Lytechinus pictus: one gene and its partner. The protein of the gene in region 2 interacts with the protein of the main gene of each other region in a pairwise test. Links are inferred from orthologs where the notes say so. Each region holds a gene or a part of one and is shown on either strand. Other genes may lie near its edges.

Region 1 (11,379 bases), on a different chromosome or scaffold from region 2:
GCTTGGAAAATGCTCCATGGAATTCCTACAAAAAAGAGTCGTACTAATAATAAAAGAACAACACAAGAATATATGCTACAGTATTTTTAACACCGGCAAACTGACTACAGAGCCCCCATCTTACAAAGAGTTACGATTGATTCAATCAACCTCAACTAATGGAAATCCACCAATGTCATAGTTTTTTCTACAGGAAACTTTGCACAATGTCCTTTGTGAACTAAGCAAAGCAAACTGAATTTTCAAGAAAATTACTGATGTATGAATATTCTTTATATCTAGAAATATTTTGAATAAGGTATGCATTATAGATGTTGACATTGCTGGCTTTCGATAGTTGTGGTTGATTGGATCAATAACAAATCTTGGTAGGCCTGGGCCCCGTCTTACAAAGAGTTACGATTGATCCAATCAATCGTAACTCTATGGAAATCCATCAGTGTTATAATTTTTTGTCCAGGATATTTGCACAATGTCCTTTGTAAACAAAGAGAAGCACAGTGAATTTTCAAGAAAACAATAAATGCCTGAAATATGCATCATAGTTATAAAATATTTTGAACAAACATGCATAATATATGTTGACGTTGCTGGCCATCCATAGTTGTGAATGATCGGATCAATCGTAACTCTTTGTAAGACGGGGCCCAGGTCCTGCCCTGAACAACAAATCTCTTACAATGGTGTGAAAATAGCATAAAGACAAACTTCTATCCAGTACCATCTTTATCATATTTACCTGATTTAGCTTTCGGTGCAAATGAGAGAGGTAAGGAAGCTGTCGATCCCACCTCAAAGTCTGGTTTATTGCAGCTCACTTCAACCATCTTTAACCCATTGATTTCAGTCATATTTCTACTCTGGGCTATCGAAGAAGGATCTGAATCTTCCACTACATTCTGTTCATTGAAAGAAAAAAAAAAGTAGGATGATGTATGAACATGTATGGAACAAGATGATTTATGGTTGAGCATTAAAGTGTAACCAAAGTACACAAAGATTAGTTATTCAATAATAATCCAATTAAGAAAATACTATGTGTGAAATACATGTAATTATTGTTCCTTGTATAGCTTGAGAAAGCAGAGTAAATCCAGAATCAAAATATAGTTTTCTTTGCGTAAGTGAGTGACCATCAAAAATATTTGAAATTGTAAGAACCCCTATACTATTGTTCAGAAGAAATTCACATAAGTGCTGAAAATAAGCTGAAAATCAAACCAAAATGCTGAATTCTCAAACCTATGATGCAGAGAACGATCACTATGACATGTGACTTGTTCTCATGTATGATAGAAAAACCTAAACAAAAATTTTCTCTTTAATATGTATGCATAAGCCAAAATTGAGTTGAACCATAAATTATTATAAATTACTGCAAGAACAATCAATATCATGTTCATCAATCTGACTTTAGGTTTAAATCAGATCATTGTCGTTCATATACATGTATGATTACATTTGTTAAAAAAGAGCGATTGAACAAAATTTAATGGATGGACATACATACAGACATGAGCATAATGCCTCTGGCTCCTTTGGAAGCATAGATGTCAAGGGGACACATAAATTTTCAGCATGTTTCACAAATTTATAATAACATCAAGGAAAGGGAAAGGCATGTCTTGACGTTAACAGTTATCAGGGACAGTTTGGACTATCAATATCAAAGGATAATAGATCTTAATAAAACACACGCCCATGAAAGTATACATGGTGTACCATGAAACCACTACTTAACAAGATTAGGTCACCTCCCAAAATGTAGACTAGATACCTTGTTAAAAGTGACACACTGTAGCAGTGCTTTCAAACAACAAATTTGAAATATGAAATACCTGATTAATATCTATGAATCCACTCAGCTTTAATGCTGATCCTAGCTTGGCTGGTGTCCTTATTCCAACTCCATTCTCTACAAAACACAAAATGAAACAACACTGTATTCATAAATACTTTGCAGTACCACGTCTTGTTTACAAAATTTTGATTTTTGTACCATTTAAAGTTTGTATTTGAAACAACACTGTATTCATAAATACTTTGCAGTACCATGTCTTGTTTACAAAATTTGGATTTTTGTACCATTTAACGTTTGTATTTAGAAACAAGAAAATTCACAGAAACACAAAATAATAATATCTTTCCACAGAGCTCTTCACTGAGGAATCATAGCTACATGCTACATCCATAAACCACCCAAAGAAGTGACAATCAATTTGTCCATCAATCAAACAGATAGCAAGTAGTCACAATAGGTACAAAATTTTGCAGGAAAGGGAGGGCATAAATGGATCTATTAAATTTGGCTAAAAACTAAAATAGATTGTCTCTCTTTCACTGAATGAATATTTTGTACCACTGTACAAATTTGAATATTCTCTATGTTGTACAACACCTCAGAATCTGAGTACAAATATACACACAAACATAAATAAACACTCCTTGCACCTATGGAAATCAAGGTTACAAAATTATGAGAAAGAATTACTGACTGCATAAAATATCAATGAATTTACTTTGCAAGCTAAATGTGACATCAACCCCAAAATGTAATCTCAAGTTCAGTCGGCATTAAAAGCTCTGTAGGCAAATATTACACAACAGCGATTATATAGATGTACTGTCAGTATCACTTTACTCAATAAAATATCCCAAACAAGAATGTTTTGATCTTCTGCTTTGGATCTTTTTGAGAGTGACTGATGGTTTTGTAAAATACTTTCAATACAGCCCCCCCCCCAAAAAAAAAAAAGAATAATAAGGAAAGTTGATCTTGTATACCTGACTCTGATACAGGTTCCCTTAACAACAACTGTCCCTTTGGCTTGAGGATTCTGGCTATCTCTGCAAGAGTTTCAAAGGAGTAGGTCTGTGTTGATGGCTTGATTGCTCCTAACAGTGCTACATCAAATGAGGAGGCTGGATGTGAGGCTAGCAGAAATCAAAAGAGACAATCATTACATCTATCATTACATCTGTCATCATGAAGTGACACCCAAATATACAAATGAGCAACGATAACAATTTCTCGAATTAAATTCAGAAAGTACCTTGATTGAGGTTCAAAACAGGAGAGAGCAACGTTGTGATCCCCACCTCAGGAACATGAATTGCTTTTACACTTTGTTATATTTTACACCCAAGCATCTTACAACAAACTTTATATACCATTTACATAAATTCAGTTACATGTACAGTGCGTCCCAGAAAAAAAACGAAACCGAGATTTAGCGATGATTTATCATAACTTAATCATAAATAAAATAGACAAATGACCTACCAATGTAAAGCTTAGAATCTCCCCTTTCATCTGGTATTACTTAGATTATACCTCATTCACGCATGATTGCGCAAAAACAATTCGAAGAAAGGATGCCAAAAACTCATTTGGCGGGGGGTATCTGAATTTCAAAAAGAAAATCACATGACTAAAAAAGTTCATTATCTTCTCTCTTCTTTGATACCTAAATCACAGAAAATGGTCAAGTAGTAAAAAAGTTATGATCCCTCGAAACAATCCTCGTATTTCCATAATTTCATTAAATAAACGTGTTTTCACCGGTTTCCCACTGAAGCTATCGCATGGTAACAAAAGACTTAATGCATGGCTGATCGTCAACAAAACGGAGTGTCGAGTAAGTTTGAACGCTAGCCTGTAAAACCTCTTCATTTTATGAAATTATTGAAATTCAAGCCTTATTTCAAATAACCAGAACTTTGTTATTTCTTGACCATTTTCTGTAATTGAGGTATCAAATTAAAGAGCAGATATTGAACTTTTTGAAAATGTGGTTTTCTTTACACCCTTTGTACTCTAATACTAAAAGAAATTAGTTCATTGACTAATGAGCCCTTGATGAGGCATTACATCCAAACCCTCTCCCTATAAAATATCAACAAAATACAGTCTGCTGTTGTTCTATACTATCATGGGATGACATTTAGTCCATTATTTATTCAACTTTTCATTTGAAAGGCCCAAGCGATGCTATACAAAATGTCACAGACCCTGCTTTCATTAAAGTACTAAATCTAGTTTAGTGGAAACTAGTTTAATGTGTAATGGGAACTCTTGAAGCAGTCTTGGAAGTGATTTCAAAACCAGTTTGGAAAACCACCTCGCGGTGCGGTTTTCAAGACTGGTTTTCCTCGTTAAACTAGTATAAACGTAGGTGAGGACATAACCGTTCTTCAGGAAGGGATCTTCGCATGTGTTGGGCATGCTACTCAACACACTGTGTAAAATCGTATGCTGCGGTTTCAAATTTCATGCGAAAAACCGACCCCACTGAGAATGTTCCTATAGCAACAAGAATGCTTTCTATGAAGTTATTCTGAAAACTACTTTCTGGAAATCAGACAGGAATGCGAGGAAAAGCAATCTTCCAAAGGGCAATAATTATATTGAGGGAGATTACTGGATATATGTACTTACACATAGAAAGTCTCTCGTCATTCTCTACCTGGACACGCCCACTCTGTCCGACCTTACTGCTCAGTCTCTCCACCACCTCCTTGATTTGCTCTGGAGACTGACCTTGACTCCATACAACCAACACACTCTGTCCCGTTGAAATCTTGTCTTCCATATTGGATCTGGGCTATAGGTAAAGAGCAAGGTAAAAAAAAGTAAGCTTGTAACCGATTTTGCAATCGGCAACCGATTCCATTCGATTTCACCACAATCGGCAATCACTTGCCGATCTTCGATCATGCCCCTTGAAGGAAAAAATCGGCGTAGATCTGGTTACAGTGCGTGATCGCTCAGAACATATTTCAAGATTGTTTTTGAGGTGCTAGCTATTTAGAGGTCGCATTATTCAGGGAGAAAGACGCGGTATTATCTATGGCAATGTTTAAGAGGATAGATATCTTCTCTTCCAACTCATGGTGATAGCGGATGCCGCCGTGAACTTTGAAAGGTCGAATTACCGACGGAGCTCACTGCGTTACTCTCTTACATTGTTTATGATTATATACATTTTATTTTCAACCTCGTGGTGATAGCGGATGCCGCCGTGAACTTTGAAAGGTTGTATTACCGACGGAGCTCACTGCGCTACTCTCTTACCCCCTTTATAATGATATAAATCTTCTCTTCAACCTTGTGGTGATAGCGGACCCCGCCATAAATTTTTAAAGACTGTACTATTGACGGAGCTTATTGCGTTACTCTCTTACATCGTTTATGATGATATACATTTTATTTTCAACCTCGTGGTGATAGCGGACCCCGCCGTGAACTTTTAAAGATCGTGCGACTGACGGAGCTCATTGCGTTACTCTCTTACATCGTTTATAATGATATAAATCTTCTCTTCAACCTCGTGGTGATAGCGGACCCCGCCATAAACCTTTAAAGACTGTACTATTGACGGAGCTTATTGCGTTGCTCTCTTACATCGTTTATGATGATATTCATTTTATTTTCAATCTCGTGGTGATAGCGGATGCCGCCGTGAACTTTGAAAGGTCGTATTACCGACGGAGCTCACTGCGCTACTCTCTTACCCCTGTAGAGACAAGCACTCCTTTATAAGTTCCCTATTCGCTGTCCATAGCATTACACACATATACATGTATTCCCTATTGGCGGGCCATATAATTTCGGTATCTTGTCACGGCTCACGGGTCCCATCCCCTATATAAGCTAAGACGCATTTTAGTTATGTGTTATTATGAGTAAATTGGATCCACCGCTGACGTGTACTACTGGCCTGAGGACGCACCATACCCCGGCAGCTAGCTACGCTACAGCAAGGACCAGAGCGCTCTGCAACCGACATCTAAGTTCAAGTTCAACCAGTGCAACTCAAGCTTCGTGCCAGGCCATAATCCGACGCGAGATCCATATCTTAAGGTCAGATTAGCCCATAGATTCTCGTAAATTACAGTTAACTTAAGGTAATACTAATACTAGGTCACGATACAATAAATGGCGTAGTCGGCAGGGTGAAGATGAAGAAAAGAAAGAAAAGATGTATTTGCAAAAGACGATTTTGATTTGGGTAATTTTACGGCAATCACACACAAAATTTACACTGGCGACTCTAAGCCTATCAAACAGAAAATGAGAAGAACCCCTATTTCTTTCGTAGCCGAAGAAGATGCCCATCTAGAAAAAATGAAAAAGGCCGGAGTTATCCGGCCATCCTCCTCAGATTGGGCTTCCCCCCCGGTTTTGATCAGGAAACGGGATGGCTCAGTACGATGGTGTCTGGATTTCCGCAAACTTAACCAAGTAACTAAAAAGGACGTTTTCCCATTACCAAATATTGAGGAATGTTTAGATACCCTGGCCGGAAATGTATGGTTTTCCAAACTCGACGCAAACTCCGCCTATTGGCAAATTCAAGTAACCGAGGCAGACATTGAAAAAACTGCGTTCGTCACCAAGCATGGCTTGTTCGAATTTGTTAGGATGCCATTTGGCTTGTGTAATGCCCCGGCCACATTCGCTAGGGCCATGAATCTGATCCTGAACGGTTTGAACTGGGAAGTAGCTCTCGCCTTCCTCGATGACGTGTTGGTATTGGGAAAGTCCTTCCCTGACCACTTGGATAATCTTCATCAGGTATTGAGTAAATTTAAGTCCTTTCATCTCAAGCTGAAGCCTAAAAAGTGTTCACTATTCCAGAACAGAGTGGAGTTCCTCGGACGAGACGTGGATGGATCGGGTCTACACTTGAGAGAGGAGCACATTCGGGCCGTCAAGACATGGCCTGCTCCCCGCAACACCCGAGAGGTCGAGCGGTTCTTGGGGTTGGTAAATTATCATCGCCTTTTCCTGAAGAACTATGCGGAAACGGCCGCCCCCTTGTATCAGCTTACCGGCAAAAACCCTTTCCTCTGGCGGAGGGAACACCAACAAGCGTTCGACAACATCAAACATCTCCTTGTTACGGCTCCAGTGTTAACACTCCCTAATGCAACAGACCCCTTCATATTGGATACTGATGCATCGGATGTCGCCGTTGGGGCCGAGCTCTTACAACTCCAAGAAGAGCAAGAGAGGGTGATAGCTTATGGAAGTGTTGGGTTAACTAGAGAACAACGCAACCAAAAAATTACACGGGGGCGGCGGGCGAATTCGCCCCGGAAAGTCCAAAAAGAGCCCCAGAAAAGGGCTAAAAACATTCACACGAGGGCGACTGCAAAACTCATAATCGCCCCCGTCAACTAGGCTTGGGAGCCAGCGCCGGGTAATCGAGTCTACCCGATTCTCAATGCCAGAGTCGGGGAGTCGACCCTGATCTCTGGAGACTCGAGTACCAAGCGGCGGCGGTTCTGAGATAAAGGGACTCGAGTCTTTGCCATGCTCTCTCATTCATGGACGAAAATCGGCCCCAGCGCCGACTCCAAGCACTGAGATAAAATAAATGTAGAATTTGGAGCAGAGGAGTCATATACTTCGAGCAGAACGTTTCTCTGCTTTAGGCTCAGTGTGACTGCATGTGGTATGGGGATGCATCGTGTGTAGTGTGTATTTCTGTGTGTGTGACTGTAAAATGCCAGTAGAGACCACGTGCGCATGTGTTGAGCGACACTTGTGGTTGTATCATGAACTGGGATTTGTGTGTGGATTGTGTGAGAAGTTTGGTGAAGGTGTAAGATTTTGGGCGACTTGATAGATGATTGCTCCCCCCCTCCCATTTATCTAGCCCCATGTCGAGCTGCAGCCACCCATCTTGATCCTTCCCCCCAAAGCTTGTCTCTCCTCATTCCTTCTTTTCTTCCAAACTTTATTTCCCTATTATTCTTGTTAATTTCTCCTTTTACAAGTTGTAATTCACTACGAACTTCATTATAATTTTAATGAAGTGTTTATCACCTCTTGTTTGTTTTTAAATATTTTTATATCTCTGTTCAAAACAAGAGTCTCGTTTATCCCTTTAAAAAAAATCACGCTTTGATTTTTTTTTCTTTCATTCTAGTCTTAAATGGGAGTCTTGCCTTATTGGAATATTGGCAAGAAGTTAATAAAAAAAATGATGTTATTGTTCTGTCAGTAATAAAAGTAGAGATTCAACTATGGATATTTTTCAGTCATATTTCATTTAATCTTCGTTATTTCAATCCAAACATTCATTTTTTTTTCAATGATGTATTTCACCTTTGGCCAGTTCGCCATTTTCTTAAGTGACTGAAAACGTAGACTAGCCCCTTAATTCAGGGACATCAACCCTCGGCAATTTGTTTACATAACTTTCTTTGTCTCCGTCATGTATTGCACAATCTTGAGAAGCACATGTTTGGAAATCTGATATTCTTGTGGTGGTGGTGGGGGGGGGGGTACGAGATTGCCGCCCTTTTCATTCTGTTTTGGTTTGGCTGCCACATGGCCTCTCTCACTGTGTGGAGAAATTAGGTCAGGTAAAATTTGCAAAGACGTGGATATAAGTTCATTTCAATTAGAGGCTGTGCAAGGCTAGGCATTCATGATGGATGATGGAAATTGCCAGTTTTGGTTCTGGTAGGCCTTTTTGTCATGAATCTGTGTAACTGATACGAACGCTTAACAATTCAATGACCTTTATGACTTATATCATTATTTTGTATGAATAATTTTAAGTCTTTTTTAAAAAGTGTCATTTAAATAACTTTCAGTCAAATATGTACGAAGGATATTTGTTCAACTTCATAACATTTGCAGGTACCTATATTGTATGATAAAATAAATTACCTCAGAATTGTACAAATTCAGAACTTTCTTTTTCTTTTACATTGTCTTTAGACACGAATACAGATCTTTCTAGATTAATTTGACAAATGGGCTATAACACTAAATAGTAAACACGCAAAGCTCACGTCAACCAAGTATCAAACATTCAAACTTGGATTAATTCATGGAGGTTCTACCTCCATGATTTAATCTGAATAGGTCTGTATTAGGTCCATGAATCAACTCAGATATCGTTCAAGCATCAAAATCCATCTATCATCACAACACTAAAATCATAAACAATCACTTCGAAGAAACAATGCGAAGGTCAAACCAGGGAAGTGTTTTACTTCCCTGGTATATGCTAGCTACCGTGTATATATATACACACACACACACACACAAACGCAAAAAAGCCGCGAAATACAGAAATTGTAGCCCTGGAAAGTGGAAAAAGAGCCCTGGAAAATGAAAAAGTAGCCCTGGAAAATTTTTAAGTTTCTCCAAAAAGAGCCCTGGAAAGAAAAAAAGTAATTTTTTGGTTGGAACAACGCCGCTATTGCGTCACCCGCAAAGAATTGCTCGCCGTGGTTTTATTCACCCGGCGGTACCGGCATTACTTACTTGGTAAGCCCTTCCAGGTGAGGACGGATCATAGTAGCCTCCGATGGCTATTCAATTTCAAAAACCCCCAGGGTCAACTAGCCCGTTGGTTAGAGGAATTAAGCCAATATCAGATGGAGATAGCTTATCGGAAAGGGAAAACCCATGCCAATGCCGACGCCCTCTCTCGGATACCTCCCCCCAACGATGCTTGCGAGATGTATGAATTGGGCCTAACCCCCGATGATCTTCCTTGTGGTGGCTGTCCTTACTGTACCCGAGCTCATAGAAATTGGTGTGACTTTGCGGAGCAAGTAGACAATACCGTACCCTTGGCTCAGAAATCTTCGAAGCCGCGAATTCCCGAATTGAAATTAGCCCCGCTCTCCCGTTCCGAGGTGGGCCCACCGATACCCGAGCTTGGGCAGACAAAGATTGACAAGCAGTCAAAGGGGAGCGACTCGGCTGACTCAAGCGATCCGCCAACTCCGCTGGAAGAGAATGTGTATTCCACACTGGCTGAGATGGCCCTGACGTCAGGGGAAGTCACCAGTTTGCCCTCCGAACAGGGATTTCAAATCAATCTCACCTCCCTCGACAACAGCATTGATCTTGTCAAAGGCCAAGAGGGAGACGAATATCTAGCGCCCATTCGCTTATGGCTGGATAGCCGTGCAGAACCAGGTGAGGGGGAGATCATGCGCTGGGGACCAGAACAAAAGTTTCTTTGGTTAAACAGAAGCCTCCTGGAGGTCAGAAGTAATTTGATCTGCTGGAAGAAAGAGGGACTATTCCTGGTTTGGGTGCCAAGAAAGCTCAGGGAATTGGTAACCCAGCTCAACCATGATTTACCTACCTCAGGTCATCAAGGTGTCCAACGAACGATAGCAAGGATTAGGCTGAGATACGTCTGGTACCACATGCGCACTGATGTGGAGTTATATATCCAGGCATGTACTGTATGCAACCAGAGGAAGAAGCCCACCCGTCATGCCCGTGGCGCTCTGACCCCCTTCCATGCTGGAGTTCCCTTGGAGCGAGTTCACTTGGACTTTTTAGGGCCGCTTCCAAAATCGGATAAGGGGAACGAATATATTCTAATGATTGTGGATCAGTTCACTAAATGGGTGGAATGCATTCCCCTCCCCTCGCAGAGGGCCGAGGAAACGGCTCGAGCTGCGGTGAATGAGTTTTTTTGTAGATTTGGCTTCCCACTTCAGGTTCACACAGACCAAGGACGAAATTTTGAGAGCCACTTATTCCAGGAACTTTGTAAGATGACGGCTACCCACAAGACCCGTACCACGGCTTATCGACCCTCCGCAAACGGGCAAGTGGAACGGTTTAATCGGACTCTGATGGACGCCGTGAGATGTTTTATAGGAAAGACTCAATCACATTGGGATAAATTCCTACCCCAGATAGCTAGCGCTATGAGGTCTACTGTCAATCGAAGCACAGGATTTACCCCAAACCGGCTAATGCTAGGCAGAGAGGTAAACCAGCCTGCAGATCTCATGTTTTCTCTTCCTCCAACGCAACAAAGGCAGAGGTCGACGGAATATTGCCGGGAGTTGTCAGCCGCCATGTTGCAGGCTCACGATTTGGCAAGGTCAAGGCTCAAATCATCGCAAGCCCGAATGAAGAGAGACTACGACCTTAAGGTCAGACATCGGAGCTTCAAAGAGGATGACTGGGTCTATTTCCTCGATCTGGCATCATGCAAGGGAAAGAGCCGGAAACTGCGTCCACCTTGGAAAGGCCCCGCTCAAATAATCAAGTGTCTCTCCGCTAATCTTTTTCGAGTGAAGTACAAGAAAGCACTCGTGGTGTTGAATCATGATCGAATGAAATTATGTCGGGATAAAGAGGTGCCGGCGTCGAGTGGCCCCCGCCCCGCCAACGAGGTTTACTGCCTTTGCCGAAAGCCAGACGATGGTCGGCTAATGATACAGTGTGACAGGTGCCTAGAGTGGTATCATGGGGCATGTGTTAATGTACTGCCGATTCAGGCTATGACCATGAACACTTACGCGTGCCCCGTATGTCGGGCAACCCGAAGAAAATAGAAAGGGATTAGTCCTTAGGGTAGAGTAGCTCGATAGTTGCTG
Region 2 (11,075 bases):
CTTAGAATGACATGAATGATAGATTTTCACATATTTGTATTTGCACAAAGGATTATGTGCTTGAAGAGGCTCATACTAGGAGATTCGAAAATAGGATGGAGACGATTTTTTTTTAAATAAATAGGACACGTGACTATGGAGGTTTACTAATACTTTTTAGTAACATATCTTTAAATTTGTGCAGATTGTCCCTACCAAGCTTTTACAAAAACATGTTGGAAATATGGGGTGCTACGAAAGAAATATTGCTTAAAAAGGAAACGTCAAAAAGAAATGAGATATTCTCCAATAAGTTTACACATTCGGACTGACATATGTTATTTGAAGAAAGTTTATTTCTTAGAAATATTTATAAATTACATCATCTAGTTGATGACAAGTGTAATTTTAAAACATCTAGAGCCTGCATGAGGATGGGGTTAATAGAAGATGAGATAAGATATCTCCACACAATATATGAAAATATTCCAACAACATGGAAATGTCTCTTGAAGAAAACAAATACATGCATGGACACAGCTTTAAATTTTGAATTTATGTTTCATGGAAATATGAACGCACTAGCAAATATTACATCTAAGAAAATCTATAAAGCTTTGTTAAACATGGAATCTGAGAGGTCGTTCGCTGTTAAAAACATAAAAGGAACATGTATATGAATTTTCCGAAAAAAGAGACTGATACAATATATTTAAGACCCAGGATAGCTACCTGAAATAGAAAATTAAGGGAGTTTCAATTTAAATTGTTATACGAACTTGTATATACTAAAAATGTTTATTTAGATTTAAATTATCAACATATAATCTATGGTCGTTCTGTGGTAAATGTAAAGAGACATATCAACACATATTCTTCGCCTGTGAATACTTTTAGAACTTTGTGGACAGTGGAGAGACTGTGGTCATTTATTTAAATTACGCCAAATTGAAATTGTTAATTGGAAGGATATTCATATTGGAGTTAAGTTTTTTGATATAAAGGAAGGAACATATTACTAAATCATATTACCTTTCTAATTAAATTTATGATCTTTGAGCATAGTAAAGCTAAAAGAAGACCCCCGACCACTCAAGAGATTAGGGAAAAAATATTGGAAAATGAAAAGGAGGAGAAAAGAATAGCAGAGGCATGTGGAAAATTATCGGGTCACCTGAGGAAGTGAGATTTCTTTTTCACTTCATCTGTTCATGAAGACGAGGCATTCCGAATTCATCTATTTCTTAGACTAAACTTATGACATGCACTTATTTTCATGACAGCTGCCATGACACTTATGCGGACAGATGAAATACATTTGATCAGGGTGGATGTGTGTGTGTGCACTCGGGGGGGGGGGGTATTCGTGCGTGAATGTGTGTTGAATGTGGTGGGGGAAGGGGCTGTGACTGTGAGTGTGAGGGAGAGGCCCGAGGATTATGCATATTAAATCTTCTCTCATAAATCTTATTAGTTGTATTCTAATAATTTACAGGATTAAAGATTTGTGTGTGTGTGTGATTCAGAAATGGTAAATACTTTTGTTCGTTTTTAGGTTGTACTGCTTTATATTAAAAATATATATCATTTATGTGTATAAATGTAAGAGAAAAGAATATATATTCCTTGGAAAAAACCGCATACATTCGTAATTCCGAAGCTTCGTTATTCCGAAGGTTCGGTTATTCCGAAGGTTCGGTTATTCCGAAGGTTCGTATTTCCGAAGGTTCTTAATTCCGAAGGTTCGTTAGTCCGAAAACGAAATGAGGTTCGTAATTCCGAAGGTTCGTTAATCCGAAAACGAAATGAGGTTCGTAATTCCGAAGGTTCGTTAGTCCGAAAACGAAATGATTAACGAACCTTATTTCGTTTTCGGACTAACGAACCTTCGGAACAACGAACCGTATTTCGTTTTCGGAGTAACGAACCTTCAGAACAACGAACCTTATTTCGTTTTCGGATTATCGAACATTCGGAAAAACGAACCTTCGGAATAACGCCACAAATGTTCGGATAAACGAACCCTTTTACGTTTTTGGATTAACGAACATCGAGGTATAGGCAATTTACGTGTTTCAGAATTACGAACCTTCGGAATAAAGAACCTTCGGAATTACGAAGTGTAACCGAAAAAACAACAAAAATTAAGAATTTATTCATGACATTGTTTTACTTCATTTTCGTTAAGAATTGTCAAATGTATAGATGTGTTGATCAGAATAATTGTACGTTCAAACTAAGCATTGTAATTATGGTGTAATTTGATTTGATGCCGTTTTGAATTCATGATCATGAATGTAATATTTTACTATGTTCAAATTTGTTTGATGAGAGAAGAGAATAAAAGATTATAAAAAAAACAGTCCTTAAGATGTCTCTGTTAGGTCAGTTTACCTGGCTTTGCGCGCCCACTAAGCGACTCACAAATTTTGCTGGTGCCTGGTGCCCCCCATGCCGTGACCCACGGTACGCCACTGATGATTATGATGATAATGATGCTAGAAGTGATGATGATGATGATTAGGAGATCTAGGAGGAGAATTATTTATTTGATGATGAGGATAAAACAACAAGTAAACATTGCAAAACAATGAAGTGGTATATATACAGACATTGGATTAATGCAAGGGATCATTGTGATGATAAAGACAGACGGTGGTGGTGACGACGACGACAAAGATGATGATTATGATGACGACGACGACGACGATGATGATGATGATGATGATGATGATGATCATAATGATGATAATCATGCAGTGACAGGTGTGATGATGTGGATGGTATAAATGGGCATGATGATGACAATAATGGTGTGGATAACAGTGGGTGGTGACGATGGTGTAATCTATCCAATGGGTTGTGATGATGATGATGATGATGATAATGATAACAGGTGTGATGATGTGGATGGTAATAATGGGCATGATGATGACGATAATGATGTGGATAACAGTGGGTGGTGTAATCTATCCAATTGGTTAATTGTAATGATGATGATGGTGGTGGTGATGATGATGATGGTGGTGATGATGATGATGGTGGTGATGATGATGATGATGATGGTGGTGGTGATGATGATGATGGTGGTGATGATGATGATGATGGTGGTGGTGGTGATGATGATGATGATGATGGTGGTGGTGATGATGATGATGGTGGTGATGATGATGATGAGGATGATGCTGATGATGATGATGATGATGATGCCGATGATGATGATGATTTTTATAAAGAAAAAAATGATAATCAAGACATGGAAGTAATGAGGCAATGATGAAAATGATGAGGAAGATGAGCAGGGGCGGTATTCTGAAAACGTTCTTATCTTAATTTTGTTCTTATCTACGTCACGTTCTCAAATTGGTATTCTGAAAACGTTCTTATCTTTTTCTTATCTTTTGTTCTTATCTTTTTCTTATCTTGCTTTCCATCCTATGCTGAGCGCGTAAATTTGTTACACGCGCATAATACCAAAGCGCGCTAAAAAGATAAGAACAAAATAAAGATAAGTGGTATTCTGAAAACATTCTTATCTTTTATCTTTCTTATCTTTTACGATATTTATGATAATATTTAAGATAGCTAGAGGGTTATCATATCTCACGATGTTCGCGTTCTTTCTTGCTAAAAAAAGATGGCCACTGGTAATAACATGTATTCTTTCCATCCTTTCTTTTATTCACCCTTTATTTTGTTTTTCACCTTTTTTCTATCCTTTTGTCTTTCTTTATCTATTTTCAATTTTTCTTCCTTTCTATCTGTCTATCTTCCTTTCTTTCATTCTTCATTTATATCTTTTGCTTTATTCTTTTGAATTTTTTAATCTCTTCCTTATTCTTATTTTACTTTGTTTCATTTATTCTTCATCTTTCTTCCTTTTTATTTTTCCTTTTTCGTTCTTTTTCTTTCTTTCTTTGAATTAACCTTTCTTTCGATTTCTTTCTTTAGTCTTTATTTTTGCTTTAATTTCTCTTTCATTGTTTCATTTTCCTTTTTTCTCTCTTCCTTCACCTTTTACATTTTTTTGTTCCTTCTTTTTCTCTTTCTTTTTTTTTCTTTCACTCGTTTTTTCAGTTTTTTCAGTTTTTTATTCCTTCATTTTATCCTTTTAATCTTTTTTGGGTCCTTTTTCGTTTTTCCTTTAAGTTTCTTTCTTTCCTTTTCTTCATTTAAGTTATTTTTGCTTGCTTTCTTTCGTTTACTCTTTCATTATTTTCTGCTTTGTTCCTTTCATTTTTTTTTCTGCTTCATTCTGACCCTTTTCTGTCTCCTTTCTTACCTACTTACTTTCTTTCTTCCTGTTTTATTCTTTATTCGTACCTGCTTTATTTACTTTTTTTCTTTACTTCCTTTCTTTCTTCCTTCCTTCCTTCCTTCCTTCCTTCCTCCCTCCCTCCCTCCCTCCCTTTCTTTCTTTCTTTCTTTCCTTATTGTGCACGTGTCTCGAAATAATAATCAGTCATTTTTAATGCGTATAAAATGCCTATTTCGCGCAATGCGCCAGAAACAGTGTTCGCGCAGTGCCCATGATACTCTCTTGACATAAGGAACGCTTCTATTGGTTAAACTGACAATATAAAGCGCATTTTGATTGGTAATATCCTAAAAAATGGGCGTGTTGAAGATAAGAAGGAGGCAGTCCTTACAGAGATAAGAACGCGTTAAGAAGATTTTCAGAATACCGATTTGCAATGATTTTAGCGTCTTCTTATCTCAATGAGATAAGATAAAAGATAAGAACAAAGATAAGAACGTTTTCAGAATACCACCCCAGGAGAATTATGTTGGATCAATGCATTATAATTGACTTTCGGTGACGATGAAGGGGCGGCGGAACGTTTTTTTTTGGTCCGGGCCCTAGTACTATATGTCAAAATTAAGGGGCATTGGCAGCAATAGAGATATTTTTACCTTCACTTTATGTTTCTGCCTGCACATTGCAGAATAGTATACAGTGTACACAAAGTTCTGTATACAGAGAAGGGGAATTCTTCCCCTGGAAGTGATTTTGGTTGTTAAACAAAACAATTACCCCACGAATTGTATTGTTTTGTCGCTATCAAACATGTTGAAGTGAACCAGGACCCTGGGAACTATTCTTTTACTGGGGGGTGCTGATGTAAATATGACAAGCAAAAAACAAAGTTTTCACTACAAAATACAGGTTATTTTGCTAACATTTCTCCACTTTTTTTAAACACCTACCAGAATTCCAGGGAGTGCTGCTATAGGCCTACGCGCAGCACCCCCAAGGAAAATTTTGGGGATGCTTTCCAGGGCCATGAAATGAACATGAACACAGAGCAATGTTATCACAGAAAATGAATGAGAACGCGTTGCATGCCTTTTCTTTGAACAAAGTATTATTAAATTCTATGACGCGCCCCGTTAGAGGCAAAAATACATCACGTAATCAATTAGAAAATAACAGAACATAACCATCAGTGACGAATGTACCGAATGTGCATTATTTCAAATCAGGTTTCAAGGCACTCATTTTGGGTACATCAAACAGAAGAACTCAAAAATTTAGGGGATGTGGGGGTGAGGTGGAAAAACAAGAAGAGGTCTAGTTTCGAATGGATGGATCGAAAGATCAAAAATGGATCGAAACGTGGAGCGTTGTGGCCCAGTGGATTATAGTCTTCTGACTTTGAAACAGAGGGTCGTGGGTTCGAATCCCAGCCATGGCGTAGTTTCCTTCCGAGCAAGAAACTTATCCACATTGTGCTGCACTCAACCCAGGTGAGGTGAATGGGTACCCGGCCGGTATAGGAAGATATTCCTTGAATGCTTGAGCGCCTAGGCAGCTCAGCTAAAGCCGGGGTAAGGGGCCCGCTGGGAGAACAGTTCTCGGAACTGAAGTGGATACCCTGGGTAAATATACCTGGAGGAAATATTCTAACTTGATAGGAACAAAGGAAAGAGAATCAACTTCAGAAAGAAAAGAGTGGCACTTCACAGAGGGTATAATTCTGTGGGATATTTTAATGGGGGGCAGTTATAAGTCCCCCCTTGTACTCGGCCTCCCTGCCTTCGCCGCCCCTAGCAGCGAAACTGCAAATTAATTGTTGGTTGCCACCTGGAGGAGACATGAGTTTCACTGAATATAAAGATTGAAGTATTAGACCTATGGCTGTGTGTATTTAAAACAGAACTTAATTTTTTCCTCTGCAAAGTCTCAAATTAACCCAACAAAATGAGTGTTTTCTTTTTCTTTTTAATAAATGCAAAAACTCTAGTTACATATAAAAACATGCAAATAAAAAGATCCCCTTTTAAAGTTGCATTACTCATGACATGTTACTTCTCACTCCCCCCATCCCCCCCCCCCCCCCCAATTATCAACTATCTGAGTCTGACCAAGGAGATATCACTCTAGAGTGATATCTCCTTGGTCTGACTCATAGAGATGTATTACTAGTAGCGTTCCTCACCTGCTCCTCACCTGCTCCCGGTAAACTTTTGACCAATCGCAGACCCGGGTCGCAGACCTCGGTTATACCATGGACCTATTACATGGTTATACTAGGGAATTCGGTTCTTTAAGCCTAAATTGAACCCCAAACTACGTCCACTACAAATTTTTATAAGCCTAGCCTGTTATTTCATAATTAGCATTAATACATGTCTCCGACATCGCTACCCCCCCTTTTTTTTTTTACTTTCAGATTTTTCTCGGCCTCTGGCGGACCGGCGGGCTAGCCCGCCCGGGATCGACCGGCCGGACCGACCGGCAGCGCATCGCAGGCCAATTATTGCGCAATTGCCAGAGACTTTTTTGACCGAGCACGGAGACCTGATAAATCATCTTTTGGTTTTGGTATCGAAATGGCAGAACTTATTTCGATCAAGAGTGTGGAGGACTTTGGAAAAGAAGTAGAACAAACTGTTAGGTATGCATTCAGTTTCAGTTCTTTTGACAACCATTTGAAAAAAAAAAAATGCTTTCCTACTTCATCACCATGATCACGTTCATTGCCCCATGTGTTCATTTTCATGTCTTGTTCAAGTTGCGATTGTGTGTGACTTCTGAAGTTGTGACACCTGTTTAGTGTGTGCAATTGTGTACCCTCACTAACTTGACTGAAAGATAACTCAGGTGAGGGTAACAACACAAAATAAAATGTTCACATAATTGAGCAAGCCTAGCCCAGGCTTTTATTATACAGAATTATAAAACTGAGTGTCTATGATTGACATATGACTGAGATTGAGAACGATTTTTATTCTTACTAATTTTTCTTACTCTTAGTAAATCTTACACTGTCCAACGTACTTAGACTCTAAGTTTAATTATAAAATATCGCACACTTGATTAACCTTAACGTTTAGCATAATTGGACCGAAACAAAAATACAATCATTAAACCAAATACAAATCATGTGTATTTCTGTGGTACAGATGTTGAATATCAATGTCATAAAAAATAGAATTGAACAAAATATGGTGAATGGAAATTATTTACTTACTACCAGAACTTTGTTTTTTTGCCAAACATCGGACACAGTTTCCAATTAGATCTATCGGACATGTAAAAGTTAGGCGCTGCGATCATTTTTGGCAATTTTAATCATGCTCTAAACCCCAAAATAATTGCTTGATAAAACTTATTTCAGCTGCTCAAATTTATGCTGATTTTTATTATTACTCTCAATAATTTTGATATATCGGTAAATAATATTTATTTACTTACCAAATGGACCTCTTTCGGCTCTAAACATCAGACGCCTATGCTCAGCTGTGAGCTACTTTGTTCTAAAAAGCGAGTGCGTATGTGTTAAAAAACATTGATAATAATTACTTCTTATTAAGCGCTTTTTCAAAAGTTACAAAGTTAGCAAGGGTCATATTCTTTGGAAGTCAAAATCATGGATTTTACCCCTGGATTTAACCCCTGGAATATTTTTTTTGAGCAGCAACCTTGGTCTACTGTGTGTGTGTGTGCGACTTCAATAGAAAGTAAGTTCATGTATCACATGCATATTGCATGCAAGTCCAGTGCAGGACCCTGTAGTTGTGTGGAGGGAGTTGACGTAATTTTTGTCCGATATTTGGGCACTTAACTCCATCTCAATTCTCATCTTCCAAACAATTTTTCAGGAATTACATTTATTTTAGCATTAGTAAGTTACAAGGCCTAATCACTAATGTCAACAAATGTTAACACACCACAAAACACACCATAAACATTGTAACACACTAAGCCTCAAAGCCACTATTACATGTACTCGCCACAGCACAGGAGAGTCCCGATTTCAACTCCAAAATAGCCTTTGAAAATCAAATTTTGCTCTTGAAAATTAGAATCTGCACCATATCTCCAGTGCACATGGCGCTTAGCTCAGATTTAAAAAGTGTGATTGCTGAAAAATGCGCTAGAAATGAAGAAATTTGTGGTTTTTGTTTTAAGGTTGCCTTAAAGCCATTGTTACATGTACTCGCCTCAGCACAGGAGAGTCCTAATTTCAACTCCAAAATCGACCTTTGAAAATCAAATTTGGCTCTTGAAAATTAGAATCTGCACCATATTTCCAGTGCACATTGCGGCTTAGCTCAGATTAAAAAAGCGTGATTCCTGAAAAATACCTAGAAATGAAGAAATTGGTGGTTTTTGTTTCAAGGTTGCAAATGTTCTCACGAATTTAGGACTGAACAGTATGTTCAAAATGGCAAATCAAAATCAAAAGTCAACTGCATTGAATTTGCACCGAAGTAAATTCAGCTGCATACTAGCGTGTTGCCTTCAATCATCAGGGGCTCTGAGCGAAGGGCTGCTGTGACTTCCAGGTTGCATATCAAGTGCGGAGCCGCGTAATCCAGCGGCGCTTCCACACATCAACTTTTGATCGCTCGATGTGCCATGTCGAACAAAGGGCTGTTAGTGTTATCAACATTACTAGGTTTACAGTTAGGTTTAGGGTTAGTTTTTTTTCTATGAAAGCTTGAATCTGGCACTTTATTTTTTTCAACATGTCCGAGTTGCCTTAAGTGCTGAGTTGACCTTTATCCATTTGCAAAGCAACTCCAATATCGGAGATTGTCTCCCTCATTGGAGAGAGTCTTCAACAATCAACCATGTACCTCAGTCGCTGCAATCAAACAATGTATTGAAAACCATTTACTACCCGCAGATGGTAAAAAACTATAAGTAAACTTTTAATTTGATGATAATCATTCCGCATGTTCTGACAAAATGATTCTCAAAACCCAAATTTTTTTGGGAAATGCTCGATCAAATTTTTTCAGAAGTGCATTTAAAAAAGATGTGCTATTGTTTACTCTGCTATCTTTTATTTTGTCATGTAAAGTGATCGCCATTCAGGCAATTCAAAGCATGCAGTTTTTTTATTGCCTGGTTGAGTATCCGCCCATTGATATTGCTCAACTGCTTCCCATAAAAACAGAACAAAACAAAACGCCCCAACATTATCCTGTTGTGTTCAGAAGGAAAGTTCTTACATCTGGCAATTCTCTTCTGGGACAGAATTGTACAATTACCAAAATACTTTCAAATGATTGATGATGAAACCTATTATTTTTGTTGTTGTTCTCTGTCAGTGGTCTATTGGTGGTTCACTTCAGGGCGCAATGGGCCCCTCAGTGCCAGCAGATGAATGAGGTCATGCTTGAACTGGCCAAGGAACATCCACAGGTTCGCTTCTCAACGGTAAGTCTGCCTTTGTAACATCACCCTCTAGGGGGCCTTGGATCATCAATGGAGGGAGCTGTTTACAACTGGAAGGAAGGAAAGTGACACTGTCTACATTTATACATGAATCTAATGTCCTCAGTATTGAAACCCTGTAGGATGTGGTATCCAGATAAGGTGTAATTTGCCCAAATTGAATTTTAAGATTTTGAAAAAGCTCATCCACACAAATACTTGATTGATTGTAGAGGAATTTCATTGAGAGTTTCAAAAAAATACGGAGAAAACAACGTTTGAAGTTCAGGGCTCACTTAAGCATGAGATGTACACACTGCAATTTTGGTGAAACGTCCAAGCAGTCCTCAAAAAGTTGTGTTTATTGTTTCCTATTCATCTTAAAACTTGTAATTTGATAGTATAATGAAGGAGAATTAATCATATTGCATCAAAGTTTCAAAGCCATGATAATATCATTAGCTTTGTTCAAAAGAGATTTTTCCTACTGTGTTTTCAAACGAAACTTCACTAGTAAATAAAACATACCACAGATTATTATGAGTGGGACTGTAATACAGCCAAAGTGGTTATTGTTCGCTTATCTCAAGCATGTCTGAGGAACCTCCATGAGAGATATTTTTCTCTCTATTTTCATATTTCATTTATTTTTTAGGTTGAGGCTGAAGAACTTCCAGAAATTTCTAAAGAGTACAGCATCGCTGCAGTCCCCACGTTCATTTTAATCAAGGTGAGTCATACAACAAGTAATTGTTTGCATAATTCCACTCTAGCCCTCTTTCTCTCCTTTCCCTGTCCCTTTCTCTCTATTCCCCTTTCTCTTCCCCCTCTCCCGTTCTCTTCCCTTCCTTCCAATACCCCCCCCCCCAACACAATTTCCCATAATGGTCATTTAGGAAAACGGACCAACTCAAGTTTTAATGTTTGCTGCTAATATTGGTACAATTGTTCCACAGTTTCCTATCCCATATGTCATGACCACATCGTAACACGGTCACTGGTGCTGTCAAAGAGAAAGAATAATTAGTTGCGAATATGTATTGAAAGGCTCTATGGGCCATGTATTTGACTATATTATGTTACTGGCCTTGCAAGCTTGAATTTATGATTTTATTGCTCAGATTTCATTTTTAGTTTTTAGCCATTTGTTATTAGATTTATGGAGGAAACAAGATTCAGAATTGTCATTTTCATGGTTCTTTTAAAGTTTTTCACCATTTGCATTAGCATTGGAACAAGAGGGTGTTTCATAGTTATCATGACATTTGCTCTGGCGACAACTGCTCCGCTTTAAAATTCCACACACAAAAGAAATGACCAACTTTAACTCGGGGGGGGGGGGGGGGGCCAGTCAAATATATTGCTGTACACACGCGTGACCAAAAAACGCGTTTAAAGGGGTGTTTTTTTTCAGTTTTGGACGCGG

What was found.
Region 1: the proteins of glutaredoxin-3-like (region 2) and anamorsin homolog interact in binary tests that used the Homo sapiens proteins (3 or more experiments, as listed by UniProt). The link is inferred for Lytechinus pictus from reciprocal best matches to the Homo sapiens genes GLRX3 and CIAPIN1.

Annotation. Positions count from the first base shown.
Region 1 is NC_087246.1:50,063,025-50,074,403, forward strand, and holds the start of anamorsin homolog, read right to left. Parts: upstream 4,637-11,379; 5' UTR 4,593-4,636; coding exon 4,439-4,592; intron 2,935-4,438; coding exon 2,785-2,934; intron 1,916-2,784; coding exon 1,839-1,915; intron 900-1,838; coding exon 740-899; intron 1-739. UniProt on the Homo sapiens protein: Component of the cytosolic iron-sulfur (Fe-S) protein assembly (CIA) machinery required for the maturation of extramitochondrial Fe-S proteins.
Region 2 is NC_087256.1:18,207,203-18,218,277, reverse strand, and holds the start of glutaredoxin-3-like, read left to right. Parts: upstream 1-6,531; 5' UTR 6,532-6,813; coding exon 6,814-6,878; intron 6,879-9,543; coding exon 9,544-9,652; intron 9,653-10,304; coding exon 10,305-10,379; intron 10,380-11,075. UniProt on the Homo sapiens protein: Together with BOLA2, acts as a cytosolic iron-sulfur (Fe-S) cluster assembly factor that facilitates [2Fe-2S] cluster insertion into a subset of cytosolic proteins.